3 linked regions of the Stegostoma tigrinum genome follow. The protein of the gene in region 2 purifies or fractionates together with the protein of the main gene of each other region. This does not show direct contact. Links are inferred from orthologs where the notes say so. Each region holds a gene or a part of one and is shown on either strand. Other genes may lie near its edges. The genes, in order: tes, ctnna1 and cadherin-5-like.

What was found.
Region 1: the proteins of ctnna1 (region 2) and tes purify together in Homo sapiens (affinity purification with mass spectrometry; 3 studies listed by BioGRID and IntAct, with this or other methods). This does not show direct contact. The link is inferred for Stegostoma tigrinum from reciprocal best matches to the Homo sapiens genes CTNNA1 and TES.
Region 3: the proteins of ctnna1 (region 2) and cadherin-5-like purify together in Homo sapiens (affinity purification with western blotting; 4 studies listed by BioGRID and IntAct, counting the BioPlex papers as one, with this or other methods). This does not show direct contact. The link is inferred for Stegostoma tigrinum from reciprocal best matches to the Homo sapiens genes CTNNA1 and CDH5.

Annotation. Positions count from the first base shown.
Region 1 is NC_081371.1:33,794,151-33,804,722, forward strand, and holds the start of tes (testin), read left to right. Parts: upstream 1-5,747; 5' UTR 5,748-5,838; coding exon 5,839-5,901; intron 5,902-8,704; coding exon of another isoform or gene 8,705-8,803; intron 8,804-10,572. Other genes in the region: transcription factor EC, read right to left, coding at 8,705-8,803. UniProt on the Homo sapiens protein: Scaffold protein that may play a role in cell adhesion, cell spreading and in the reorganization of the actin cytoskeleton. Plays a role in the regulation of cell proliferation. May act as a tumor suppressor. Inhibits tumor cell growth.
Region 2 is NC_081366.1:57,466,273-57,476,371, forward strand, and holds the start of ctnna1 (catenin alpha-1), read left to right. Parts: upstream 1-6,059; 5' UTR 6,060-6,387; intron 6,388-10,099. UniProt on the Homo sapiens protein: Associates with the cytoplasmic domain of a variety of cadherins. The association of catenins to cadherins produces a complex which is linked to the actin filament network, and which seems to be of primary importance for cadherins cell-adhesion properties.
Region 3 is NC_081369.1:63,174,975-63,185,083, forward strand, and holds the start of cadherin-5-like, read left to right. Parts: upstream 1-5,622; 5' UTR 5,623-5,786; intron 5,787-10,109. UniProt on the Homo sapiens protein: Cadherins are calcium-dependent cell adhesion proteins. They preferentially interact with themselves in a homophilic manner in connecting cells; cadherins may thus contribute to the sorting of heterogeneous cell types.

The sequences.
Region 1 (10,572 bases), on a different chromosome or scaffold from region 2:
CCCATGTAGGCTTAAATATTATGGAAGAGGAAATGCAAACATATTTTCAGCAGCTAACATCATCTGCAATGTTTCTCCATTCACAGGTAAAGCAGGCCTTCAGACCACCATCACAAGCGATGGACCAGAGCTCAGATGACCAGAATGAACACCCCAGACTGCAAATGGGAAACGTTGAGTTGATCAAAGACTGGGATCACCCCAAGCTCAGATCCAGGTGGAAAGGACCCCCAAATACTCCTTCAGACACCAACAGCAATCAAAGTCCGAGGACAGAGTCGCTGGATCCATCTGAGTGACTGTAAACAATGGGGCCCTCAGATGGCCTAAAGACTACACTCGCACTCTGTGATATCATGGCTGCCTTCATGGTATTAGGCCTGGAGGACAATTTGCTTTATAAGACACATTACCAACTGTATGGTAATCAGTGTGTTATCTGCTAGCACAGTCTGTAGAAGCTTTATTTGTAGCAACCTCAGGATGGAACCCTCACCAACTCTATGAAGTAGATTAGTCTGGTGAGCCTTGCCAAGGGTAGGGAGGAACTTGGACGAGGGGTGTGCAGGGTCGATGTATGGAATTGATTGTTAACAGCTCCTCCAAATGTACAGGTACTAAACCTAAGCCTGGGAAGGAAGGGGCCAACTGTACGGATCCAACCAGCTATCCGCTTTGTTTTAATGGTACTGGATGCTGTTGTTTATATGCCTTAGTAAACGTCACCAACCATCCCCATGATGCTTCCCGGCCTCATCAGTGTGTAAAACGAACTTTACAACTAAAGGAGGGCTATTGAACTGCACCTGTTTGGTATCAAGCCCAGTAAATGTGACTTCAGGTATACAGTGGACTTGTGGGAGTTGTAATGGCGCCCATGTAGAAATGGGGTATGGGATATTTCCGTTTCACTCCTCAGGCTTCCAACCATTTAAGGGTCAATCCTCCTGGAATAGTTACAAGATAGTACGTGAGTCCGTTATCTGCTACCGTGCTTCTCAATGGGACCTTTTCTACTGCTACTCCAACATTACCGGTGCGGTTTGCTGTTGGGACCTTGGGCCTCTTACAGTCCCTTGTCCTCAGTGAGCACGTGCTTGGCGATGAATTGTCACATGCCCCATAAGCAAGGAGTTTTGCACTAAGTGGCAGGATCCAGTAACCCTGGGCTCCCCCTTGGGATATGGTTTCCTAGGAACTGTCACTTTAGGAGTAGCCTCAGGGATGGTGTCCACTAAAAACCAAAACTATGTTATGTGAGGACTCGCCATCCTGGGAAATGGCATGATGTTGGCATTGGAAGCAGTAAATCGAGAATTAGCCGAACTTCGGCCCTATGCTCAGCAAACCCTGTATGCAGTGTACTATCAGCTGGCTCAAAAAGGAGGAGTATGTACGATTATAGGGGATAAATGCATTACCCATGTTACCGATGAATCCTATAATATTACTCAAGCTATGAAGACATACAGGGTCAGTTGGACCAGTACAGAGAAGGACCCCGACCTGGGGAAGGATGGTTGGGATAGCTTCTGGGTAGTTCTTGATGCTTATACCTACTGTATAGATTGGTTGTCTTATTGTCGTAATTATTTGCTGCGTGTTCCAGGTATGCCTGAACCCTTGTTCCAGAATTATGACTGACAGACTAGTAGCTCCCTTCTCAGCCCTGATATAGGTTATCATGGAATGATAAAAGTAGGGAATGAGATGCTAATGGGTTAACATCCCATGAATTTTTATGGTCCTTCTCTCCTCATATAGGGGTATGTGAACACTGTCTCAACTTTCTGCCTGAATAGGATTGGGTGTGAAACATATGTAAACACAAAAAACATTAAGCTATGTAATCTTTGTGACTCTACCCACACTGCTGCCTACCCCTGTTTCTGCTGAAATGGCCAGGTCAGTCACCTTTGATCAAGCCAGGCAGTTGTCACCACATGAAATCGCATCCTGTTGTTATCATACACTGCGTGATGATCAAAGCTGTACCCTGTCCTCAGACGTAGTACTTGTTTTATGTGTCTGGCAATTCCAAGGGTATAAAAGCGGGGACTGTCCCCTGTTTGGGGAGAATCGCTCATGATACTCAGCACTCTGTGCCCGGTTACGTAGAGCAATCCTCTGCAGCTTGTACTTGCTAAATAATAAAGGATTGTGTTTTTGTAAACAGGTCAGTGTCTTGCTCTTGCATCAAGTCCACGAGGGTCTCTGAAAAATGAACCTAACCCTTTCACAGAGGACCAAAATATATAATAGGTTTGGTTGAAGCTAAGAAATCGCAAAGGGGGAAAGAGACAGTCATTGGCTGGCATAGTTCATAGATTACCTAACAGTCCCAATATTTAAGAAATTATAAATCAAGAAACAATGGAAGTTCGTAATAAATGTATTGCAATAATTGGGGGATATTTTAATCTCATTTAGATTAGGCAAATCAAACTGGTAAAGGTAACCTGGAAGACAAATTCATTTCCTATATTATGGGTAGTTTCTCGAAACAGTGCACTCTTGAACCAATCAAGAAACAGACTATTTTAGACCTGGCGATGGCAGGAACTGCAGATGCTGGAGTCAGGGATAATAGTGTGGAGCTAGAGGAACACAGCAGGCCAAGCAGCATCAGAGGAGCAGGAAAGTTGCTGTTTCAGGTTGAGACCCTTTTTCAGAGACCCAAAATGTCAACTTTCCTGCTCCTCTGATGCGGCCTGGCCTGCAGAGTTCTTCCAGCTCCACATTTTAGACCTGCTAGTGTGTAATGAGACATAATTAATAAATCACATCAAAATAAAGGTACCTGTAGGTAAGAGTGACCATAACAAAATAGAATTTTATTTTCTGGTTCTGCAACTGGTGTCACAAATTTACTTGAAAGCAACTATAAGGATATGAAGACAGAGTTGAAAACATTAGAGTAAGCAAATAAGTTTAAAGATAAAACAGTAGAGAAGCATTGGCAGACATTTTAGGTATATTCTCTCAATAAAACTCTCAATAAAAATATATTCCATTGAGAAAGAAATTCTTTGAAAAGAATACACCCTCTGTGATGATATAAGCAAGTTGAGGTTGGTATTAAATTGAAAGAAAAGTTTTACCACGCTACAAGGATTACTGGTAGGCCAGAAAATTGGATAAATGCTAAAAACCAGAACAGAATGAGTTAAAAAAGAGAGTCATTGAAGTATATAAGCAAACTAGCAAGAAATATTAAAAACTAAAACCATAGCAACAGTGACCATTTATTTTGAAGGGGGTGAGATTGGGGAATTAATAACAGGAAGCAAGGAAATGGCAGAGACTTGATTCAAGTATTTCTTATCCATCATCATAGTAGAAGACACAAGAAGTGATCCTAGAATCATATAAAAGAGTGGGCAAAATGGGCAGAGGAACCAAAAACAAAGACACTCAGGAAACAAAAAAGTGCTAGAAAAACAATGAAACTAAAAGCTGTCAAGGTCCTAGACAACAAAATGTGAGGCTGGATGAAGGGTCTAGGCCCGAGGCGTCGGCTTTTGTGCTCCTGAGATGCTGCTTGGCCTGCTGTGTTCATCCAGCCTCACATTTTGTTGTCTTGGAATCTCCAGCATCTGCAGTTCCCATTATCTCTGTCAAGGTCCTGTTGGCTAGACTCTTTGGATACAAATGACATATCTGCAAAGATAGTGGATAGTGATCAAGGAAGTTTCACTGTATAAATCCTGTTCAAACAGGACAGTCATACAAAAAGAGAGACTTAAAATCCTGTCTTAAAATTGTACCTACACAGCCTTAGGATATTCCAAAGTGCTTCATGCACAATGAGATATTCTTGAAGTTTAGAACTCATGAGGCAGGTTTTAATCTATTATTGGTTTTATTTGAGAAATAAATGTGTAACTCTGCAATACCAACCCATCTAGTCAAACCTCTAGACTGGATCTTCTGTCCCAAGCCTCTGACTCAGAGTTGGGAGTATTACCAGTGAGATAAGGTTGAAAGGTTAATGTAGAATTGGTACGAACAGACTTCACATCAGCAAAAAAAATGGAATCAAGTTCCTTTAAACTAATTTCTTTCACTTGAAGTCACACACAAGAACTTAAACTTCTGCAGAACTGAAGGACTGAAGTTAACTTTTGAAAGGCAGGTACTGTTATATTGAAAAAATTGCACATTCTCCCACAAACAGCAATAAAGTAATAACTGAAAAATCTTTGTTTCTATAGTTAGTTGAGTGATAAATATTGGCTGAACACATGAGAGAATGTTTCTGCTTTCTGCTATAAAGTGAAGTGATATTATTTAAACTTTACCTTTGTAGTTCTTCTCATATATTTGATATACACAGCTTTGAATGTTTACCTTTAATTTTTGAAACCGCCCTAGAAATTTTGCAATGGTTGTTCATTATTTCCACATTAAGTAGTTACTGATACTATTTCACCATTTTCAGAAAGCATGGCCAGCATTAATCAGGGAATTTTTGCCGAGAAAGGAACTTTGCACTGAAGTGTAAAACTTCATTCAACATTCAACTTTGCAGTTAACTCCATGTAACCTAATCAAATCATGAAAATCGGGTACGAATAGAATCCACATTAAGTTTAATTTGTAGTAATATAACAACCTGACAAATCAGCTTTGAAAGCTAATCTCTCCTAGAAACAATGTTACATTTACGGTACTAGGAACTACTATTCCACACGGAAAATAATGCAACATTTTGGCTAATTCTTTAAGATTTCATTGTAAAATTTTAAAAGTAATGGGAACTTAAAAAGTATAACTACCTAGTCATTCTATGTTACCATCAATGAATAAAAATAATTGAAAGACTGCTGCCTGTAATTACATCACAAAAGGACTAACACGTTCTCTAATGTTCTTTGGTTACTTTATAATCTATTAATAACCTTTGAAAGTTGAAAGGCCTCACAAGAGGCAAGAAAAAAAACTAAACCGCATTTTTAAAACTGCAAGACTTTTACATATTGACTAAAAACTTTACATTGTCATTTTTGGACTTCCATGCACTGGGTTAACTTTTCTATTTTAGTAATTCAATAATCAAGCTTTCTGATTTGATTTTTAAAAGGACAATAATACTCTTCATGGCAAACTTATTTTCAAAGTAGTTTAAGTAGGATTACAGAAAATAATCAACAAATGTTTGTGACTATCGCAGCAGAAATACAGAAAACTACACAGCTCCAAGAAAGTTGTAAATTTGTACTGTTCTCTGAATAAGTAAAGCTATTGTTTTATATCTGCTGCAAAAATGTTGACACTGTTACCATTTTAGGACTATGTATTCAGTACAGTGGTTCTGTTCTGTGGTAATGTGCCCAACCACCATTAGAGATTTTAATTTTGTGCATTTTTCTCAGTAAGAAGACTTCAAGCTTCTGCTGACTATTCTAAGTATAACCCAAATAGCAATAGGAAAACTGATTTCTTACCAGTTTTATATTTTGTGATTCTATAAACTCCACAATAGCAAGTGTTTTACTTTTCTCTTTCATTTTAATTTCCTTCTTTTCTCAGGGCTTCGACGTGTGCAGAAATTTGAGCAAGTATTCAACTCACATAAACAAGTGAACTCTGACTCGTTGGACTTTAACACTAGCCTGACATACATGTATTAAGAGCAACTTTTTTCAGTGCAGGTTGTTCAGCTCTTTGATGTTATGTCAAACTGTACAATTGTTAATGTTTACTAGCTTGCAAGAAAATATTTCAACAGAAGTTAAACAGCAAAGTGAAAAATCAATAAAGCAGTGTTTCACTGTCTGATATTTAGAAGAAATATTCTCAGTTGGACATTAGAGATTTTACTTTTCAGATTTTGCCATGGATAACAGCAAGTTGCCTCTTTCCTTCTGGACATATTCATTTCAAGCTGCATTTAATAAGGTAGGTACCATTGGTAACTATGCCTGTAAAAATCAATGCTTGGAATAATTTACCAACATTGTGCAAATTTGAACACTTGAAGAGGATTGCAAAGAACTCACACATCAGCTAAAAAAAACTATCTTGACGACTATGGCTCTTGAATAGACAAATTTTACCGATATTTTATTGCATGTGATTATTCTAAGATCAGCTCATTTGCTGTGTCATTCATCGCAACTGATGAAATAATAATGGTTTCATGATTTTTGGAATTATATTTTACTTTATATTTTATTGAACAATTTAAAACCACCAATTTGTTACGATTTGAAAAACATGATGGTAAACATTGGAATTTATTGTACTCACTTCTCAGGCAGAAAATGGATCAAGGTCAGATTTGGAAAGTAAAACGTGCTACAATTTTAATGTATCATTTTATATTTTTCCAAATATAGCAATCATTTTAAAAGAGAGGAAAGTTGTTTTGGAAAAATGCAGTGAATGCTGCACATGACAAACCAATTTAAAGGGAATTGCTTATAATTCATTAAAAGGCCTGGATCGAAGTCCTACCTGCATTAACATCTCTGAACAGATTGTTTTAAAAAGATCTACAATGCATTAATTAGATGAGAACCATGAACAAGCATGCTCTCATATGTACATCTGCCCCCTTTACACAGTGCAATTGCTGCCATAGTTACAGGTTTCATTCACGCAATATACCTACAGCCTCAGGAATTGAAGGACAGAATGTGAGGACGGAGAGCTCTTGTAGTCCAACAAAAGAGGCCTCAAAAGAGCAATTCCAGTGGGGAAGGCTGGCCCAGATACTGGCATCAGGGAAGGAATCAGCAAAGATGGGCACTGGCATGACATCACATCCAGATGACAAGAACAAATTATGTCCATATGTCAGAGGGGCAAAGTCTGAGATATCTAAGAGTCCCCTTAGAAATGGTCATGGAAATATGTTGGCTTGGTCATCAAGAAGTGTAGCCATTTGGATTTGGTTGGAACCCCATGCCAGTGACCCTCAAAGTTATAGAAATGCTCAATTTCTATGCTAGCAGTGGCTTTCAGGGAGCAATGGGAAATACTTTTGACATCTCAAAGGCTGCCACACATTGGTACACAGAGAAGCTGATTGATGTCCCATGTAGTTGTCCCAATAGTTTTATCAGCCACATCGCAGAAGACAATAGCCAAACTCTGAGACAGCTAATATCAGCTATCAATAACTGCACTCATGAGGCCAATAAACATTCCTTGGGAACATCCAGGTGAATTTGTAACTTATAAAAGTTTAATAACACAAATACACAAATAGTATAAAGCCACAGGAGAAGGGTATTGCAAGCCATGCTCATTTCCCAGGTTACTATAATTGTGCACAACTCAGATTCAAGGGATTTTGAAGCCTCAGATGGATGGATCTTCAATGACAAGGCTTATTCCATGTGTACATGGATGAAGAGACCAGACAGCCTTCACCAGAGGGAAGCAGAGGAGTGCAACAATTCAGCTCATTTTTCCATCTGTACACCATTTAATTTCTTAAAGTACATAACTACTGCCTTGACTAGTCTAGATGGGCTCTGCAGAATATACATCTGAAGGTGTTACTAATAGTAGTGGTCTGCTGTGCATTACACAACCTGGCATTGCAATATAGTCAGAGATATTGCAAGGAGCAGGGCATGAGGAACATTTGTATTTCTTACAGGCAAAACCAGAAATTACTGGGGATACTCAGCAGGTCTGCCAGCATCCATGGAGTTAATGTTTTGGGTCTAGTAACTTTTCTCAATCTCCGACCTGCTGGATTTCTCCAGGAATTTTTGTTTTTGTTTCAGATTTCCAGTATCTGCAATTCTTTGTTTTGTACAAGGCCTCCTCAGATGACAATGATATGACAAAGTATAAGGAGGTTATAAATGTAATTGAGCCTGTAATAAATGCTGGCACCATGGAGAAATGCATAAAGGGTGCCATGACAACATAATCTACACTTAGTTTGTCCAATAATAAATACATCTGCATGATTGTTGCACCATTGGTAGAACTCCACCCCCATCCTGGAAGTAAGCTGAGCCCTGCCATCCTCCCCATTAAATTAACTTGAAATCTGCATCATCTATCACTGAGAATAGAATGAGGACTTTGGCTTTGTCACACAGTCATACTTCCTGATTGCTGGTAGCAAGGACATCTTTGGGCTGTATGGACATCTACAACACATCTATATTCCCAAGTTATTTTAACCAAATATCATCTTACAAGTACAATTCAAATGTACCTGTCTCAGTTTCACCCATTGAGAGAGAACCAGGCCAATATTCTCACATTGAGAAAAAGCAAAAGTTCTGTTTTGATAATGATGTTGAAATGATGTTGCTATCAAAATCCTAGTCTTTGAAGCACACAAAGAATCACAGTGATTTTAGTCTTCTCCTAGACAATATTGCAATAATATAGTACCAGTGATGTAGTTCTGGAATATTTAAACCAAATAAACCTATTGCAAAATACAAACATAGTTCAGGCCTACCCACTAAACAATAAACTGAAGAACAATATGAGAATTGTTCCTTCAGCTTGTGTGATTCCTTGAATTAATTTCTCCACAGCCGTTAAAGAACTATTATGGAGAATGGTAAGAATAAACATTTCCAGCCATTTTAAATTATACAGAAGAAGGGTCAAAACATTCAGAATAGACGTAATGCTGGGTCATTACTGCTTCCCAATTTCTTCTCCAGTTGCCCACAAGCTGTTGGGTTTTAAAGAAACTTCTCTTTCCTCTAACAGTACTTACTGTGTTTGGTATGAGAGAAGATGGTTCCATACAGCTGACAGAATCTTCATTGAAGCAGCTTGATTCCAAACTGATTATATCATCGATAACATCATCCATCTAAAAACAATGTGTTGTGCAGATGAAAATAATATTCAGTGAAGTGCCCTCAAATTCTTTATCATATAGTGTGAGCGAAATCATTCAAGATAGGAAAACACAGACAAGACACGCATGTTGGCATATCTGTTACATACTATACATGTAACTGATTTTCACTCAAAAGCATAGTTTTGAGAAAAAGTAGTGATACACAGCTCTGCTAGCACCTGTCCATCCAGGAGGTTTCATTTTCGGGTATTAGCTAAAACAATTATATGATCAATCTGTTTCAATTTTTGTATTTATGAATAAAAACCAAAAGAACTTCAGATGCTGTAAATCAGGGACACAAACAAAATTGCTGGAAAAGCTCAGCAGGTCTGGCAGCATCTGTGAAGAAAAAAAATCAGAGTTAACGTTTTGCATCCGGTAACCCTTCCTCAGAACTAAGTTTCTTCACAGATGCTGCCAGACTTGCTGCGCTTTTCCAGCAACTTTGTTTTTGCTCCTGTGTTTGTATTTGTGACTTTGCTGTAACCAAAATCAATGGAAAATTTCAAAACTGAACTGTTCTATGGTCATGGAGGCACTGCCATTTTAAAACTTGTGGGCTTCAGTTTCTATCTTACTATCAACTAACTTTGTAGAGATGCTAAAATAAAAGCAAACTACTGCGGATGATGATGACTTGACATAAAATCAGAAGGTGCTGAAGCGTGGAGTTTCTCTAGCAATTTCTGGGTTTGTTTGTACAAACACTATAAGATGATCAGCCTATCATAGCCCATGTCTGGCACAGCTGTCTTGCATACGCTATACATTATCAACCAGTTGCAAGTTAGCTGTCAAACTGGTGCACCTAGCTCTGATGTTGCAGCTTGCTAATTGAAGAGCTGGCATTCTTCTTTCTGATAGATTGCATTGTTTGTTTTCCTGGAGCAATGAACTCTCTCCACTTGTTCATCACAGACTTTTGCCTCCAAACATTCATTAAGGCAGATGAACTGTGGCAGATCAGCAACTTACCAATCTTGAGATTATTGCTGGGCAGCCAAATAGATACACGGTCCCTTCCACCAATGGAGAGAACACATAGCACCCATTCTGTAGGTCAGTTGGCTTATTATTTGTAACTGTTATTTCCCATATTTTGCAATTGCTCTGCAATAGAACTGGAGCATCCTCTTAAGGGTGCAAGCCTGGGTATAAGTTACGTAGACTCTGTTCAGTCTAAGCATGTGGGTTCTTCTCTCACCCTCCCTGATTGAGTCCAAAGGACAGTAAGACACAATGAGTGGTTGTAGGATTTGACAGAAAGATAACAGTTAGACATCAGGTGGCCTTTGTGCTCCAATCCAGATTTTTAAAAAATTATTTATTACCATAACCTCAAACACTCTTGAGGTATTCATGAGGCAGTAGGACGATTCACCCAGAGCTAGAAGTTTGGTTCATGTATGACTGGTTGTGTCCACATGGCAGTACTGTATATGGCTGGGAGTGAAGCCTCCTCAGAGTTCCTCTGAGGGTTTGACATGGAAGAACTTAGCAAAGCTATTGATTGACTTACGATGGGGGTAGCTCCAGGAGATGGTACTATATTGCCTAAACTTACCAAGTGCAGGAAACTCACTTCCCAGAAATCTGCAAGAAATCCCTATCTCTGCAAGAAGGGATTGGAAGTGCTCCAGGATGTATGGTCATGATCCTGTACAAGAACAAGTTATAGGATCAACAATCAAGGTAACAAGGTGTGGAGCTGCATGAACGCAGCAGGCCAAGCAGCA
Region 2 (10,099 bases):
TTTCGGGCCTAGACCCTTCCTCAGAAAAATGAAGAAGGGTCAGGCCCGGAACATCAGCCTTCCTACTCCTCTGAGGCTGCTTGGCCTGCTAGCTCTACACCTTACATCAGATGTACTGTGTAGGTTTGTTCTCCTTACCCAAGGAAATATATATTTGTCTTAAAGGAGATCCATTCAAAGATGGTATTTGAATTTTGGACATGAAAGTGTGGGTCTTTTATTTGTAATGTAGAGGAGTGAGATGTAAACTAATTGAAATGTATATATTTCTTATGGGTTTTGACAGGGTAGACACTAAGAGGCAGTTTTCCTCGTTTAGTAAGTCTAAAACTAGGGTCCAAACCTTAGATGAGCACAAGCTATTTAGTACCGAGATAAGGAGAATTGCCTTCACTCAAAACATTGTGCATCTTTGGAATGGTCCATCTCAGAGGGCTTGGCTGATCAGTTGCTGACTGTATTTAAGGTGAGGAATAATGGATGCTTGGAATAGGAATGGAATCATGGACAATGGTGACAGGGTAGACAAGCAGAGTTGATGTCAAAGATCAGTGTCATCTTTTTGAATGGCAAAGTAAATTTTAAAGGAGCCTTTTGGCCCTCACCTGTTTCTATTCCTCATTTTCTAATGTAAAATAACATCATCCACTATTCCCTGTTATGACAACATCCTTTGCTCCTGCACCAATTTTAAATCTTGTCAAAAAAAATTTGTTTATTCCAAAATTTTGTGTTAAATCAAAACAATTTTGAAAGGGTCCTGAGTTAAAAGATATTGAAACTTATAGACGTATTGTCTATTCAAAAAAAAATTGTGGCTAGGCTGAGATTTTTTTCACTGGAGTGCAGGAGGTTGGGAGGTAACTTTATAAAAGTATATAAAGTCAGAAGGCATATAGATAGGGTTAATGTTAGGTGTCTTATCCCTAAGATGAGGCATTTCAAGATTAGGGGGCACATTTTTAAGGTAAGAAGAGAAAGATTTAAAAAAAGATAGAAGGTGCAACTTTTTTAAGAGGGTGGTTTGCATTGGAACTAACTGCCAGAGGATGCAGTGGATGAGGTGCAGTTACAACATTTAAAAGACATTTGGATAAGTACATGAATAGGAAAGATTTGAAGGGATATGGGCTAAACACAGGCAAGTGGGATTAGTTTGGTTTGGGAACATGGTCAGTGCAGATTAGTTGGAACAAGGGTCTGTTTCCACGCTGTATGACTCTGTGAATTGCCACTAAAGTAATAGCTGCTTTTAACTTATAACTTTGATAATTGGACATGTATTTCTTTGTAGGGAGAAAGCAGATATACTTAACAAGTGAAGCTGCAAGTTTCAAACTTCTTGTTTGTGAATTAAATACTGAATCAATAGTAAAGCTCATCCGTTCAAAGCTGTTAACCAATATGACATTGAATGTTACTTATATAATAAAAATGAATCTTTTTTCTGGGCTTTCATATTTTAGAACCTACTATGAGGACAATATTTACCAGTGTCTTGTAAATGTTATGCCTTGCTATTCTTAGAGCTGACAAGTGCTTTTCAATTATAATTGCACACAGCCTCTTCAAAATTCTCGGATTGCCTGGGAGTTGAGCCAAACAAGGCCAGCAATGTCAGCAGTGACATGCCATCCATTCCTGGCCTTCCACAAAATCTGTTGTGGGCTGCTCCTTCAGTCCAGAAAACTTCTTAATGAAAATGCATAGGGTATTTAAAGGCTGACTTACCAAAGCCACGTCTGAAATGAATTATGCGCTGTGCTGGCATTGTCACCTGTAAGAATGTAAGTATTGAGCAGCATACGTAAACCAGAAAGGAAATTTGCTAGGTAAATAAAGTACAATGATTTCTCATTGATTTTACTAAATACAGGAAGTACACTTCGAGCTTCTAGGGAGTCAACAGCACTAGCAGTGTTCTATTTCACTGTTCATTTTGACCAGTTGCAATCTTGCCTTTTCTTTCACCTTTCATGTAATGCTAATAGCCTTTGCTATTACTTTTCCTGAACAACATTTACAATAAATCCAGGATTCTCAGAAAGTGAGTGAACTCATTCATTCCACTGCATTTAGTTCTGTACTGTGCAGCTAGTATGCCTTGAAACTGGCTCCACGGTAGATCCCAACATTTCATCTGTTTGTTTAAATAAATAAAGTAAATTTACGTAAATTTGTTTGTAGAATAACTTGTAGAAACAAGCAGATATTAATAAATTTTTAAGATGTCCACAGTTCTCTGAGAACCACTTATAATAACCTGTACACTGAACTAGCCATGACCGTTTAATAACGTAGAGTGATGTTAGAAGTAAGACTTGTGGCAGCTAAGTGGAGTCTTCAAAAAAGTTTCTTTTTTTAAAATTCATTTATGAGATGTGGGCTTTCCTGGCTGGCCAGCATTTCTTTCCCATCCCTAGTTGCCCTTGAGAAGGTGGTAGTGAGCTGGCTTCTTGAGCCGCAGCAGTCCACCAGCTGTAGGTCGACCCTCAGCAGGCAATTTGGAAGGGAAATCCAGGGTTTTGACCCAGCAACAGTGAAGGAATGGCGATACATTTCCAACTCAGGATGCAGAGTGGTTTGGAGGTGAGCTTGGAGGCGGTGCTGTTTCTATGTGTCTGCTGCCTTTGTCTTCTAGATGGAAGTGGTCTTGTCATTTCTGTTTTGGATGTGCAGGGGTCTGTGTATGGGGTCCAATTCTATATGTTTGCTGATTGAAGTATGGATGGAGCACCATGCCTCTAGGAATTCCTGTGTGCGTCTATGTTTGGCTTGGGCTACTATGGTTACTTTATCCCAGTTAAACTGATGGCCTTCATTGTCTGAATGTACAATTATTAGAGAGAGCTCTTCGTGTGTTTTGCTGTTAACTGATGCTTATGTGTTCTGATGGCAAGATTCCTTCCTGACCATCCGAGGTAATGTTTGTGGCAGTCGTTGCATGGTATTTTTGTAAACCACGTTCATTTTGTATGTTGTAGGAATGTGGTCTTTAATCCTTGTAAGTGCTTGTCATACAGTGGCTGTGGGCTTGTGGGCCACCATGATTCAGAGTGGTCTTAGGAGTCTTGTTGTCAGTTTCAAAATGTTCTTGATGTAGGGCAGTGTGGTCAGTGTGTTAGGTTGTATGGTGTCTTACTGTTGTTGTCTGTTTTGTTGGCAGCAACCTACAACAGTCCACATCAGGACAAATTGCCTTCATTCTATTTTGTATGATTATCTTAAAGTTAATTATGTTACACTTAGAAAGGAATAAAACCCCCAACACTACCCCACAGTCCTACGGCACATTCTGCTGTAACCGGTGAAGGTGCAACACCTGCCTATTTACCTCCAGTTTCCAAGGGCCCAAACATACCTTCCAGGTGAAGCAACACTTCACCCGCACTTCCCAGATTCTAGTTGACTGCATTCGCTACTCACAATGTGGTCTCCTCTACATTGGGAAAACGAAGCATAGAATTGGTGACCACTTCGCAGAACATCTACGTTCTGATCGCAAAAAAGATCCTGAACTACTTGTTGCCTGCCACTTTGATGCACCACCCTGCTACCTGGCCAACATCTGTGTCTCTGGCTTGCTGCAGTGTTCCAGTGAAGCCCAACACAAGCTGGAGGAACAACACCTTATTTTCTGTTTGGGGACCCTCCAGACTCAATATTGAGTTCAATAATTTTATGGCCTAAACTCTCCCATGTCCCAGCCCATCACCCCACACACCAGGTCTTGTTACCACATAGCCTGTCATTACACACCTGCTATTGTTCGTCACTAACAGTCCCCATTAACAGCTGTTCACCCTCCCAGTTTGATCGTTAGCAACTCCTTTGTCTGTCCAACTATCTTTCTCTCTCTTTGGGCCCTATCATATCATTTACTCCCTACTTTCTGCATATAAACTGCCATTTTCCCAGCCACCATCGGTTCTGAGGAAGTGTCACAGTTAACTCTGTTCTCTCCTTCACAGATGCTACCAGACCTGCTGAGTTTTTCCAGCAACTTTGTTTTTGTTCCTGATTTACAGCATCCACAGTTCTTCTGTTTTTTTTTTAAATTTTGAAGTCTCATCCTTCACAATGGACTCCAAAATCTTACCCACAACCAACATTAGGCAAATCAGCCTATAAATTTCAGTTTTTCACCTTACTCCCCTTTTAAACTGGCTGTCACGTTTGTGATTTTCCAGTCATCTGGGACCCTCCCTGACTCTTGTGATTCCTGAAAGATCACCACAAATGCCTCCACTGTCTCTTCAACTATCACCTTAAGACCTCTGGTGTAGTCCATCTGGTCCAGTTGGTTTATCCGCCTTCAGGTCATTCAGTTTCTTCTAGCACCTTCTCCTTGGTGACGGCCACCATACTCAGCTCTGTCCACTGACACTATTGAATTTTTGGGATATTACTTGTCTTCCACTATGAAGACTGACACAAAGTAATTATTCAGTTCCTCAGATAACAAAGTGTAGAGCTAGATGAACACAGCAGGCCAAGCAGCATCTCAAAAGCACAAAAGCTGACGTTTCGGGCCTAGACCCTTCATCAGAGAGATGAAGGGTCTAGGCCCGAAACATCAGCTTTTGTGTTCCTGAGATGCTACTTGGCCTGCTGTGTTCATCCAGTTCCACACTTTGTTATCTTGGATTCTCTTGTATCTGCAGTTCCCATTATCACTATTCAGTTCCTCAGCCTTGATCCCCACTACTATCTCTCCAGCATCATTTTCAGTGGTTCAATTTCTAATTTTGCCTTTTATAATATCTAAATAAACTCTTACAGTCCTCCTTATATTACTGGCTAGCTTACCCTCATATTTAATCTTCTCCCTCTTCATTTTTTTGTTAATTTTCTGTTGGTCTTTGGTTTTCCATTTCTCTCACCACATGATATGCCTTCGCTTTTGCTTTTATGCTATCCCTGACTTCCCTAGTCAGCCTTTGTTGCCTCACCCACCCTGTTTCTTTTTATTCGGGATGAATTTTTGCTGTATCCTGAATTACTCTTAGAAAATCCTGCCTTGCTGTTCCACTGTCTTTCCTGTTCAACTCCTCTCCCAATCAACTCTGCCCAGCTCTTCCCTCATGCTTCTGCAGTTGCCTTTATTTACCTAGGTCTCAGAGTTTTGAGATCAGTTTGGAGGGGATAATGGTGTTGAAGGCAGAGCTGTAGTCGATGAGCCGGAGTCTAACGTAAGTGTCCTTGTTGTCCAGATGTTCCAGGGATGAGTGCAGGGCTAGGGAGATGGCATCTGTTGTGAACCTGTTATGTCAGGAGGCAAATTGCAGGGAATCATGGCAGGCTGGGGAAACTAGAGTTGATGTGGGCCATGACCAGCCTCTCAAAGCACTTCATGATTACGGAGGTCAGAGCCCCTCGGTGATAGTCATTAATGCTTGCTTTGACCAAGGAATAGTGAAAGAATTGCAAATATATGTCCAAGCACTGATAGCATGAGACTTGGTGGGGAACTTGCAGGGAGTAGGAATCTTGGGGTATGTGCCTAACCTTAGGTGAGTTAGGAGGTCCTGTCAAAATCAGCAGACCAGTTTGCTTCGGCCCCTTTTGGTACATAGAAAGTGCTGGAGAAACTCAGCAAGTTTGGCAGCATCTGTGAAAACAGAAACAACCTTATGAAGACATGGCTCTTTAGAACAGATTTACAACATTCTCAGTACTTTCCTTTTATTTGGTCTTTAAAATGTTTTCTTAGAAATAAAGCAACCTGCCATCAAACATGACTTACATGAAGAAAATGAAACACTTTCACAAGACAAATTGGCGATGGTGATTAATTTATGCGCTGAACTTCCCACCTGCTCTCAAAGACGGCACGAAAGACCGACTTTATAAAGTGTCTAAGAATTACTGTAAAACGTTCATTACATTTTTCCCTCACCCTATGGGTTCACACCTGATATCATGACACAAACAGCTTCTTGTTGCTGCTCCCTCTGGGTGTGGCACTGAGGCCATTTCCAACTTTTGTTACCCTCCCACCGGCATTGGCCAACTCTACATAATTTCCCCTTCAGGTCAGAGCACGGTTCTTTCCAAATTACATTTTTGTTTGTTTAATTTAGTGAGTCTTTATTCTTATTTGGGGACTTTTTTTCCTCTCCGCGCACTTTTCACGTTTGCTTCTGGTGCGGGCCGCGCAGGGGGCGTGTGGCCACTTCCTTGGAAGCGCTTCTCACCCTCCCCCTCCTCTAGGCTGGTTTGGTTTCGGTGACTCACTAGGTTGGGATTCATTCAGGTTTGAAGTATTGTGTCTTTGCCAGAGGGAAAGAAGCAGCCAGAAAATAAAGGAAACAAACGGAATCACGACTTTTTCTTGGAGAAAAACAACTGTTTGGAGAACTGATTGAAAACAGCGATTTAAACCAAGTGAGTAGCGGAAGGAAAATACTTTTGTTAACAAAAACAAATAAACGTAACTTTTAAGAAATAATGGAGTTTCAGTGAAAACTCACGGTTTCAGTTGTTGGTGGTGGCCGTTAGAAAAGTTCCGTTTCGAACTCCGGCGAAGTTTAAATGGCCGCTCGAGCCCGGTGTTGATGCTGGGCTTCACTCTTTCTCAGCCAGGATTTCCGCGGTTGCGGTTAGAGGCACAGATTTGCCTTTTCTTTAAACAAAAAAGTATAATGTGTGTGTACCACACTGTTTTATTTCTCAGTCTTTGCGTTCGTTTGGACTCTTCGCCGCCCATTTTAGGCCTCATCCTCTTCCTGGATTTGTGGACGGGAGAGGGAGAGGGCCCGGCACCGCCCCATGAGCTGTTGTACATATTTCAGGACAGTACGACTCGGTACAGAGTCTGGGTGCACAGTCCCACTCGTTAAGGGTTTTATGTGCTGTTTCCCAAAGTTATTTTTCCTTCCATCCAAATGAGTTCTAAATGTGACTTATTGCTTTTTCCTTTTAAATTATTGTAGATGGGATTTCAGACGCCACCTCAGACTACGTATTCCTTCCCCCAAATGTTAATCTCAGTACGTTGTAATTTTGAAATAATTATAGAATGTCTCAGTAACTGGGCAGCGGGTATGTGAACAATGCTGCGAAAGTATGTTGTGAAGCTTTTAAACGTTGCTTCTTTCTAGTTTTGACAGTAATTTGTTAATACAGCTCCTTTTAACATGATCAAAATATATTAAGATTATTTGTGCGTTAATAAAGCAACATTAGACATCGAGCCATGTGAATACGAAAGGTCAAAACCTTTTGTCGAAGAGAGGATTGTAAGTGGGTATCTTGGGGTAAGTAGCCCTGGTAGCTATATGCACGGCCAGTGATGGGGGAGTGATTAAAATCAAGGATGCTGAACAAGTCGCACTTGGGAGGAGTGTATTTTTGTGGGCAGTTGGGCTGGTGGAGATTAGAGGTGGAATCTGAGGAGAGCATGAAAAAGTTTGAGACTAAGGGTGAAAATTTCAAAATTAAAATATTCTTGACTCTTAGTCAGGCAAAGTCCACGAGGAACAAGGTGATAACTGGGCTTGATCCAAGTAAGGACACATACACCTGAACTTCAAGTGAAGAAACATTTTTGACGTGTAAAACGTGGGAAACTAACCTGGTGTGTGGTGAAGGGTAGAGTTTTGGGGTATGGGGTATGGGTACCTAAAGATGTGGTTGCTAATTGAAGAAAGGTTGATTCAAATTGGGATCGCAGAATTGGAGAAGCACAGGTATCTTATGTTAAGTTGTGTAGAGCCAAAAGAAAATAGAGATGGGGAGGAATAAGGTATGGAGATATCTGACACAATCTCTTGAAAACTGCCAAAGTTTGATTTTGATTTTTATTGTTGTCACGTGTGCTGGAATACAGTGAAAAGCTTTATTTGCAGGCAATACAAGTAGATCCCTACACTGGCCCTAAACCCTACCTCTTCCTCCGTTACAGTGATGACTGTATCGGTGCCGCCTCGTGCTCCCACGAGGAGCTCGTACAGTTCATCCACTTCAACACCTTCCACCCCAACCTCAAGTTCACCTGGACTATCTCTAACACCTCCCTCGCCCTCCTGGACCTCCGTCTCCATCTCAGGCAACCACCTAGAAACTGATATCTATTTCAAAGCCACCGACTCACACAGCTGCCGAGAATACACTTCCTCCCACCCACCTTCCTGCAAAAATGCCATCCCCTATTCCCAGTGATAATGGGAACTGCAGATGCTGGAGAATCCAAGGTAATAAAGTATGAAGCTGGATGAACACAGCAGGCCAAGCAGCATCTCAGGAGCACAAAAGCTGACGTTTCGGGGGTCTAGGCCCGAAACGTCAGCTTTTGTGCTCCTGAGATGCTGCTTGGCCTGCTGTGTTCATCCAGCTTCACATTTTATTATCCCCTATTCCCAATTCTTTTGCCTCTGCCGCGTCTGCTCCCAGGATGAGGCATTCCACTCCCTTGCATCTCAGATGTCCTCGTTTTTCAAGGACTGTACCCCCCCCACCCCCGACAGTGGTCGAGAACGGCCTCAACCGTATTGCCTGCAACTCATCCCTCACACCCCGTCCCCGCAATAACCATCAAAAGAGAATCCCCCTCGTCCTCAGTTACCACTCCACCAACCTCCGGATCCAACGCACTGTCCTGTGACACTTCCACCATCTTCAATCTGATCCCACCACCAAAGACATTTTTCCCTCCCCTCCCTTGTCTGCTCTGTGGAGGGACCACTCTCTCTGTGACTCCCTTGTCCGCTCCATACTCCCTCCAACCCCACAACAGCTGGCACTCTCCCCTGCACCCACAGGAAGTACTACACCTGTCCCCATACCTCCTCCCACACCCCCATCCCAGGCCCCAAGAGGGCCTAAGATAATGAAGTGTGGAGCTGGATGAACACAGCAGGACAAGCAGCATCTCGGGAGCACAAAAGCTGACGTTTCGGGCCTAGACCCTTCATCAGAGAGGCCTGTTCACCTGCACACCTGCCAATGTGGTATACTGCATCTGCTGTCCCTGTTGTACCCCCCTCTACATTGGGAAACCAAGTGGAGGCTTGGTGACTGCTTTGCTGAACACCTACGCTCGGTTTGCAATAAACATCTGCACCTCCCAGTTGTGAACCATCTTGCCCCCTCACATTCCTTAGACAACATGTCCATCCTGGGCCTCCTGCAGTGCCACAACGATGCCATCCGAAGGTTGCAGGAACAGCAACTCATATTCCACTTGGGAACCCTGCAGCCCAATAGTATCAATGTGGATTTCACAAGCTTCAAAATCTCCCCTCCCCCTACTGCATCCCAAAACCAACCCAGTTCATCACCGCCTCCCTAACCTGTTCCTCCTCTCATCTGTCCCCTCCTCCGACCTCAAACCGTACCTCCATTTCCTTCCTACTAACCTCATCCCGCTCCCTTGACTTGTCCGTCCGTCCTCCCCAACTGACCTATCCCCTCCCCACCTACACTCACCCCTACTGGCTCCATCCCCGCCTCTTTAACTTGTCTGTCTCCTCTCCACCTATCTTCTCCTAACCATCTTCGATCCACCTTCCCCCTCTCTCTCCCTATTTATTTCGGAACCCTCTTCCCCCCTCCCCTTTTTCTGATAAAGGATATAGGCCTGAAATGTCAGCTTTTGTGCTCCGAAGATGCTGCTTGGCCTGCTGTGTTCATCCAGCTCTACACTTTGTTATCTCAGATTCTCCTGCATCTGCAGTTCCCATTTTCTCTGATACAGATCATGGGGCACTCAGACAAAATGAAGCATACAGATTACACTGCACAGAAAGTGTGAGAAGCAAGATCAACAGTATTTGAAGTTAGCGTCCATCCTTCAGTCTGCTAACAGCAGTAAAGAAGCGGTTCTTGTAATGTGATGTGATAATGGGAACTGCAGATGCTGGAGAATTCAAGATAATAAAATGTGAGGCTGGATGAACACAGCAGGCCCAGCAGCATCTCAGGAGCACAAAAGCTGACATTTCGGGCCTAGACCCTTCATCAGAGCAGGGTTCTAGGCCCGAAACATCAGCTTTTGTGCTCCTGAGATGCTGCTGGGCCTGCTGTGTTCATCCAGCCTCACGTTTTATTATCTTGGGTTCTTGTAATGTAAAGTCTTAACTATCCATACAACCGTAAC
Region 3 (10,109 bases), on a different chromosome or scaffold from region 2:
GAAGTGGATATCAGTGTTGAGTCAGTTACTGGAGATGGAGACAGAGAGGACCAGCAAGGGAAGGGAGGTGTCAGAAATGGTCCAGGTGAATTTGAGTGCATGGTGGAAGGTGTTGGCGAACTTGATGCATTTTCAATCTCCTCGTGAGAGCACAAGGTAGCACCGAAACAGTCACTAACATAACGGAGAAAGAGATGGGGAGTTGTTGAAGAGGGACTGTACCATGAATCCTACGAAGAGGCAGGCCAAGCTTGGGCCCATGCAGTTGCCCAGAGCCACCCCTTTGGTTTGTTGGAAGTGGGAGGAATCAAAGGAAAAATTGTTGAGAGTGAGAACCAGTTCCACCAAGTGATTGAGAGTGTCATGGAGGGGGAGTGGGTGTGCTTATGGGAGAGGAAGAAGCAAAGTGTTTTTAGGCCATTGTTGTGTGGAATACCGGTGTACAGGGGCTGAATGTCCATGGTGAAGATGAGGCATTGGGGGTTGAGAATTGAAAGTTTTGGAAAAGGTGGAGGGTGTGGATTGTGTCCCAAATGTAGGTGGGGAGTTCCTGGACCAAAGGGGAAAGAACAGAATCGTGGTAGGAGGCGATAGGCTCGGTGAGGCAGGAGCAAACAGAGACAATGGGTCGATGGGGCAGTTACGTTTATGGATATTAGGGAGGAGATAGAAATGGACAGTGCAGGGTTGGTGAACTATCAGGTTGGAGGCTGTGCCTTGATGATCAGAGGTGGCATCATGATCGAGGGAACAGTAGGAGGAGGAGGTGTCAGAGAGTTGGCATTTGGCCTCAGCAATGTAGGGGTCAGTTTGCTGTACTATCTCTGTGCCCACCCCCTGCCCTTGTGGGTGGTTTCAGTGGTGAGGTTGGGGTTGGAGTGTTGGGAGCAGAGGGCCGTGTTTTCCAATGGTGAGAGGTCGGAGTGAGTGAGAGGCGTGGAGAGGTCCAAGCAATTGATGTCATGGCAGCAGTTGGAGAGGAAGAGGTTCAGGGAGGGTAGGAGGCCGGCAGAGGGTATGTAGGAGGATGGAGCTTGCTGGAGGTGGAAGAAGGTGTCATCAGAGGGTGGGTTGGATTCCTGTTCAAAGAAACAGGCGCGGAGGGAGAGGCAATGGATAAACAGCTCGACATCTATTAGTTATTCACATGTGGGCACAGGGGAATGAAGGTGAGCCGTTTGCAGAGGACTGACCATTCAGCCTCACTGAGCGGGAAGTCTCAGGGAGGGGAATGATGAATACCCAGCAGGGCCCTGGGGACAGGGCTGAGTGTTAAGCTGGGAGCTGGGAGACTGCAGCTGGTGGAGTGGGTGTGTGTACAGGAAGGGTCACATGGGTGGAAGTAGAAATAATGACTTGGTCACTGGCTGTCATGTGGTCAGCAACATTGCCACACACACCAACCAACCCGACCTTCCAGTTGCTATCCACTTTAACATCCCCTCCCCACTACGCTGGTGACATGTCCGTCCCTGGCCTCCTCCACTGTCAGAGTGAAGCCAAACATAAACTGGAGGAGCAACACTTGATATTTCACGTTGGGATCTTACAGCCTTGAGTATTAACTTCACCAGCTTCAAAATCTCTCCTCCCACAACCCTGTACATCTTCTGACTCATGGTCCTGCACTACCCTTCCAGCTGACCACCCACAATAACCCCCTACATGTATCCACCTATCTCTGTCTCACCTGCTTTTGCTCTGTCCCCACCCACCTCCCTCTATCTATTTCTGGTTCCCCTCCCCCTCCCATGTCCTGACAAAGGGTTTTGGCCCAAAACATTGACTTCCCTGCTTCTGGGATGTTACCTGACCTGCTGTGTCTTTCCAGCTCCACATTTATTGATACAGTCTACATTCTTTATCACCTGCTGCTCCTATGTGTTTACTTCCAGCGGGTGGTGCACAGGGACCCAGGTCTCATTTAACATTTGCCTCTTACAATTTACAGCCATTCGAATAATAATCTGCCCTCCTAGTTTAGCTCTCAGAGTGAATAACCTCACATTTATCCACCTGATGGTGCTTCTACAATGCATTTGCCCACTCACTCAGCCTATCAAAATCACACTGCAACATCCCTGCATCCTCATCACAGCTCACCCTCCCAACCAGCTTCGTGTCATCTGCAAACTTGGAGTTTTGCATTTCGCACCCTCATCTGAAACATTAACATATGTTGTGAATAGCCAGATCTCTGGTACTGATCCCTGTGGTACCTCACTAATCACTGCCTGCCACTCAAAAAAGACCTACTTATTCCTATTCTTTGCTTCCTGTCTACTAACCAATTTTCTATCCATCTCATCACACTGCCCCCAATTCCATGAGCTTTAATTTTACACAATAATCTCTCATGTGGGACATTGCCAAAAGCTTTCTGAAAGTCCAAATGAACTACATTCACTGGCTCCCACTGATCAACCCTACTGGTTACATCCTCAAATAGTTCCAGTAGATTTGTCAAGCCTGCTTTCCCTTTTGTGATTCTCTGCTGACTGTGTCTGATTCCACCACTGCTTTCTAAGCGCTCTGCTATAAAACCCTGATAATGTTCTGCAATATCTTCCCCACTACCAATGTCAGGCTCACTTGTCCATAATTCTCTGCACCTCTCTTTTTAAATAGTGTCGTTATGTTAAATAATCTCCAATCAATAGGAACTGTACAAGAGTCAAAAGAATCTTGCCAGATGACAACCAATGTATCCGTTATAGCTCGTGCCATTGGCTTAAGTAGTCTGGGATGTAGATTAAAAGGCACTGGGGACTTATCAGCCCTAAGTCTCATCAATTTCTCCCACACCATTTCTCTACTAATACAGATTTGCTTCAGTCCCTCCCTCTCACCAAACCCTGTGTTCCCCATGATTTCTGGTGCGTTATTCATGTCCTCATTTGTGAAAACAGAAGCATCTCAGAATTAGATCTACAACAAGACATGGAAGGGAGGGATGTACTTAAAATAAATGGACCAATTAGAGACTGAGAAGATTAGGACCTTTTGAAGAAGATTGGGCGTGTGTGGAATTTTTAAGGAAAGGTCCTCAGTGAGTACCATTTGACTGAAGTCTGCGCTTGCTGACATATATCAGCTCCTGATCCAGCAGTTTTAAATTTTCAAACCTGCTTTTGGTCCATATCTATCCCCACCTCCCCACCCTTATCGCTGTGATCTCCCCAGACAGCACCACCCCAAGATATTCCTTTCTCCTCCAATCTTGGCCTCTTGAGCACCACACATTTGTCATCATACCATCAGTGGTATCCATTAACTCGGTCTGGAATTCCATCATTTAACCTCTCCCATTCTCTACTTTTCCTTTTTTAAGATGTTTCTAAATTCCTGCAAGAGGAAGCTCCTTCATCACAAAAGCACATTGCCATTGCTTGCCAAGGGGGCCTCAGGTTTAATGCCCCATGCAAATCCAACAGCGCAGCACTCCCTCCTGGACTGTTCCTGCTCCGATTTCTCACGTTTCTTCACTGATACAGCAAGGTCCGGACCAGATAGCATGCTGAAATCCCTGGGGTGGGAATTATGCCCACAAACTTCTGAGAGAACCCGGGCTGGACAACCCCATTCTGACCCCGGGAGACTGAGATGTTGCACTTGGGACCCCTTCATTCTGTTTGGCTCAAAGTGATCTCATTCAACAAGCTGTTGAGGAGTGCGGTAAAGTTCTCTTTCTTTCAGCTGAATGTAACGATCTCTGTATTTTCATTAAACTCCCGGCTAAGTGGTAGAAGTTCACACTGACATCCTCTCTCTTCAGCTGTCTGTTCCAGGAACTGATCCTGACCTGAGCAGATATGAACTCCTGATTATGCAAGGCGCCCCAGGGGGACATGAACGTCAGTTGCAACATCCATGTTGCTTTTGGAATTATTGCCAATTCACAATTTCAGATTCCTTTCAGCTGAGCCAGCACGAGTGTAACACTACTTCATCAACAGGAGCTCAGTCCTATTGTCCACTCTGTATTTTTAATAACAATTGTGTCACATTGTTGAAATCCATCATCTTAAACAGGCACTCTCTCCATCACTGCAGCTGCTGCTATTTCCCAAGGCTTCCTGCACAGTAAGAACACACATCTTCCATCAGCTACAAAGACAAGGCCAACAATCCCTTGAGAACAGCTCCACCTCCAAGCTTCCTGCTTTATTTTGTGCTTCCAGCTATTACTGCAGCTGGTGCGTATTGAGAATCCAGTCTGAACTATCTCTGGGCTGTAGGTGTATTGACATTGAAGCTGTTTGCTCCAAATCTCTACGTCAAGCTCAAACACATACAGAGAATGCTGGAGAAACTCGCCAGGTTTGGCTGCATATGTGGAGAGAAAGCAGAATTAAAGCTATGACTTTTTCAGAGCCCAGAACTTCCAAAGAGGAGTCATACCAGGCCCAAAACGTTAACTACGTTTCTCTTCCAAGGATGCTGCCAGGGTTCTGAGTTTCTCCAGCCTTCTCTATATTTGTTTCAGATTTCCTGCATCTGCAGCATTTTGTTCACAAAAACTCAGACCTGAACTCCTTATATTGGCTGTACCTTCAGAGCAGTTCATTCACCTGGAAACCAGTACCTAGCAGCGCCTTGACAGCACCTTCTTGGTACAGTGCTATGCATAAGGGGAAAACACACCAGCATCTTCTCAAATACAATAAAGCAATAGGCAAGAAATGGCCCATGTCTCCATGAAGAGTACAAAAATGAACGAAACATTTAGTGGATACAAATTGCTGTGTGCAGTGGTGCATTGAACTGTCCAGGACATGATGAAAAATAAAATAAGGAAGTGAGAAGTAAGAAGGGAAGTCAAGATGGGAGATATGAAAGGATAATGAGGTTATGGACTAAATTATCAGCGAGGGTCATTGAACGAGACTGTTAAAAGGGTTCAAGAGACAATTGTACATGTTTTTGGAACAGGGTGGATAGGACTAGAAATTAGGGTTAATTTATCAAAAAATATCCAGGTTCATTGGGTCAATTTTCCCTTTCGAGATTACACTGTTGCTCATTCTTAAGTCAATACTATTCAACTTTATTTTAACCAGATAATGTCCTCAACAACATTTTTTTTTAATTCATAAAAGAGCTGCTCCTATCTCTGTTTTCATTTCAGATCATTTTGTTTCAAAGCAGAATGCTGTAGGTATCAGGGATTCACTTGGGGACAATTACTGGTTCGAATTTAGGGACATTGCTACAGGTCAAAGGGGTCTAACTGGTGAGGGTGAAGAACGTGCTTCCTTTGAAATTAAGCTTGCTCCCACTTTGTCCACTTCAGTGAGCCCTTTTTCTGTTTAAAAGAGAAACTGAAAATGTATGAAGTAAACCGATGAGAGTGATCATTTATTTGAATTGGATTAAGTACGCCCACTGTGCGACCAGTTCACACTGCAGGCAATTCCCAAAATCCATTACATGTCATACAACGCAATTATTTAATCACCATTTATGTCTCTGAAAAGCAAGTAGCTACTTTGGGATAATTATGTTCAATTTATCTGGTTTCCGACACTCTCAGCCCTCAGCCCTGATATCACAAAAGTGTTGGACAATGTCAGGAAATGACTGAATGGCAAACAGGCTGGGTCCCAGGAGTAGGAACTGAGGAACAATTCGCTCTGGAAGGCTGGGACAACACACTGAACATCACAACCAGACAAGTCAACTCTGCAAGCTAGCATTATAATCTGCGCTATATCCGTGTGTCTCTGAATATTCCTTACTTTTGGATGTAAACAGGACTGCAGGGGACTGGCGTAATTTGAAAAGTGGTGAGTGAATTTGATTCAGTAAGTAATTGGAGGGGCGGTACAGTTATCAACAACTGGAACTGTCAGTGAGTTATGGCAGAGTGACAGTGATTTCAAGTATTTCCACGGCTGAGAATCAAAATTGTACGAGGTAAAAAATGTGGTAGCTGACCTGGAACACTGAAGAAGGAACTTTACTGGTATCTAACCCTGTGCTGTTCCTGTCCTGGGAGCTTTTGATGGGGACAGTGTAGAAAAAGTTTTACTCTGTATCTAGCCCCATTCTGCCTCCTGTCCTAGAGCGTATGTTGGGGAGAGTATAGGGGAAACTTTACTCTGTATCTAATCCTGTGCTGTTCCCTGTCCTGAGACTGTTTGAGGGGGAGAGTATAGAGGGAACTTTACTCTGTATCTAAGCCCATGCTGTTCCTGCCCTGGGAGTGTTTGATGGGGTATCAGCGTAGAGGGAGATTTACCCTGTAGCTAACCCCATGCTGTCCCCTGTCCTCAGAGTTATTGAAGGGGAGAGTGTAGAGGGAACTTTATTCTGTATCTAACCCTGTGCTGTCCCTGGTCTGGGAGTATTTGATTGGGGCCAATGTAGAGGGAGCTTTACTATCTAACCTCATGCTGTCCCCTGTTCCAGAAGTGTTTGATAGATTAGCGAAGAGAGAGTTTTACTCTGTATCTATTCCTGTGCTGTTCCTGTTCTGTGAGTGTTTGATGAGGACAGTGTAGAGGGAACTTTACTCTGTATCTAACCCTGTGCAGTCCCCTGTCCTGAGAGTTTTTGATAGAGGACAGTGTAGAGGGTGATTTACTCTGTATCTAACCCCATGCTGTCCCTGTACTGAGCATGTTCATTAGGACAGTGTTGAGGGAGATTTACTCTGTATTTAACCCCTTGTAGTCCTGGGAAACGGACGAACTATAATCAGATCATTTAGGTAGGTGCTGAGAGCCATGCTCACCACAGAGAGTTGGCATGGTGGCTCAGTGGTTAGCACTGCTGCCTCACCATGCCAGGGACCTGGGTTCAATTCCAACCTCAAGTGATAGTGTGGAGTTTGCACATTCTCCCCACGTCTGTGTGGGATTCCTTCGGGTGCTCCGGTTACTTCCCACAGTCGCAAAGAATTGCAGATTTGATGGACCTGGCATGCTAATTTACCCATTGTTCCCAGGGATGTGTATGCTAGGGGGATTAGCAATGGCAAATGCAGGGCTATTGGGATAGGATCAGGTGGGTCTGGGTGGGATGCTGTTTAGAGGGTCTGTGTGGTCTCAATGGGCTGCATGACCTGCTTCCACAATGTAGGGATTCTGTGGTTCAATGAAAGGACGTCACTTTCCTGACCTTCTTGAGAGGGAGGGTGCACCTTGGGACATCTTACTTTGTTAAATCCCCTAAGAATTGCTTGTGGTTGAAGCTGGTGTTATTCTTTCTGCTTTTCCCATGTCTGAGTGATCTATTGCAAACTACTGTTCAAGTCTGATCCAGTTTGATGCAAGCATGATGTAAAACCTTCAAGTAGCAAAGCCTGATACCCAAGGGGTTTGACTGATTGTAACAAACAGAATCAACACTTCCTCTGGCAGAACACTCGATGTGGAGTCAACAGAAATTCAACAGCGTTTTGCAAAAGAAGCAGGTGTAGCAGCTAATTTTTTAGTCTGTGGATCATTGTGGTCTGGGACGAGCTGCTAAAGATAATATTGGGACCAGATTCCATCATAATCTTCAAGTGAATTAGAATATCTGGGAGTATGTTTATTTATTTATTTCGGCATTCCAGCGGGTTATTTGGATAGAAATGCCGTGCAGGGGTCTAAGGAAAATGCAAGAGGAAAGCACCATGGAATAGAACCGGCACAGGACAATGGACTGAATGGCCTCCTTCAGCACAGTAGCAATTCTATGATTTATGCATGGGATGCAAGCATCCCTGGCTAGGCCAGCATTTGTTTTCCATCCTTTACTATCCTGGAGAAAGTGATGGTGAACCGTTGCATTGAGATATAAGGGCACCCACAGTGATATTAGGAATGGAATGAAGCTCGTTGATCAGAGCAGGCCATTCAGCCCATTATGACCACACTGGTATTGCCAGGGAGCTCTTTATTTTACCTGAATTCACCAGTAGTCCTGAAAGTTCTCTGATTCGCTTGTCTCCATGAGAAGAGTCAAGAATTTTTTTTAATGCGTTGCATCTGTACGTGTACTGCCTAAAATGGTGCCATAAATCCAGCAGTAACATTCAAAATGGATTTGGGCTAATATTTGGAAAGGGAAGAAATCGGTGTCTGTGGGCAAAAGAACACGGAACATTCAGCTCCTCAAAAGAGTAGTAGCGATTTGGCTGAATGGCCTCATTCAGTGCTGGGTGAAGCTATGGTTCTGCCCAGAACAGAGTATCTTTGAAAAAGCGTGAGAGACAAATCCAAACAGAATTGGAGCACTACATGATTAATGCAGGACTATACATTGTATAAGCAGGAATTAAAACAGCATCACATCACAGAAAGAAGCACAGCAGCTGAAACTCTAACTCATTTGCTTTTACATTCGGAAAGTTACGGTGGATTCATAATCTCACAGTCTGGGGACACGTGTTCTTTTGTCTTCAATGTGACCCTACCTTGTGACTTCTAAAAGCTAGCTTAAGGGATTCTGTAGGTGGGAAGCAAGTCAGAACTCGAGAAACAGGAGGGGAGCAATCAATATAAATTGCTGATTAAAACAGGATGCTCGGTGAGCAGACTGCACAGGGAGGTGTAACTGATAAAGTGAGTAACCATCCTGTTTCCCACTCAAGTGGCTTTGTGCTTGAGTCCCAACCCAGGGGCAGAAATATAAACCCCATTAGCCCAGTTGTAGGTGATGGTGGGGAAGTCACAAAACTCCCCAGAGAGCCTGTCTACCTGACACTGGCCTAACTGGATATTTTGTGGGTGAAGTTCAAGATGGCCCACCCTAGTCTAGGCCTCAAGTTGTAAATTATTAGCCACTGAAGGCGATGTCCCTCCCACTCTCTCGATGTTGACACTGAGAGGAGGAATGCAGGGACATGCCAGTCCAAACCATGCTAAGGTGTCACACAGTGAGTGTCTCTCGAGGAAGCCTCTTTTTTTTACACCAGGTTCTCACCGTCCACGTCACCACGTCCCCTCACAGGACAGGTCAGGTCCGGGGCCTGGGTCAGGAGTGCTATAAGAGGGTGCAACTTACCGGGGCTTGGGGCTGTTGGGGGTGGTGGGAGAGGAGTTTCCTTGGAGCCAAGGGGAATGGGACCAGTGGCCCAGGCCAGGACCAGCCAGTGGAAATCAATCCCAACTCCTGTGGCCATTCCTCATATCCCAGCATGCCACATTGGTGGACAGAAAGCAACAAATTAGAACATAGAACATAGAACAATACAGCGCGGAACAGGCCCTTCGGCCCTCGATGTTGCGCCGAACTGTGAACTAATCTAAGCCCATCTCCCTACACTATCTCAATTTGCTTGAAAACTCCATGAGAGAAAGGCCTCTTCTGAATTTCTTCCAAAAGTATTTGACTCTGATTCTGAGGATCTGTTCTTTCATGTTGAATTCTCACAGAAATGTCCACATCTGGCAAATAAAAAGGAAGTGATGGTCTTAGCTTAAGATCTAAACAGTCCATCTTGCTTCAGAGTCCTCTATAATGTAATTTACTATAACTGTATGGGAAATTCTAGGAATCTTGCATTGAATAACTCACCTCCCAAGTCCCCAAACCCTGTTCATCATCTGCAAGGCACAAGTCAGGAGAGTGATGGAATACTACCTGGACAATTGCAGCTCCAACAACACTATCCAAGACAAAGTTTCCCCTCTGATTAGCACTGACACCATCACCTTCAGCATCTACTCTTGCCACCACCAATGTTCAGGAACAGTAGTGTGTATCATCCACAAGGTGCACTGCAGAAATTCACAATTGACATCACCTTCGACCATCTGAACGGACAAGGCCAGCCACTACAAAGGAACACCACTAACACACCAACCAAACACACCGTAATGTCGACCTCTAATGCAATCCTTCCACTGTCGCTGGGTCATAATCCTGGAATATTCTCCCTCATGGGCGTGGGTCTACCCACAGCACATGGACTGCAGCAGTTCAAGAAGGCAGCTCACCCCCCACCTTCTCATTGTATGGATAATTAATGCTGGGCTAGCCAGCAATGCCCACAACTCTGTGAGTATTTCTTTGAAAAACTACAAATGAAGTTTATTGGGAAATTAAATCTTTACTCTGCAGTCAGGGAAAATGCCATTTGTCAGTCAAATCCAGCCTGAATTGCAACCCTACAGCTC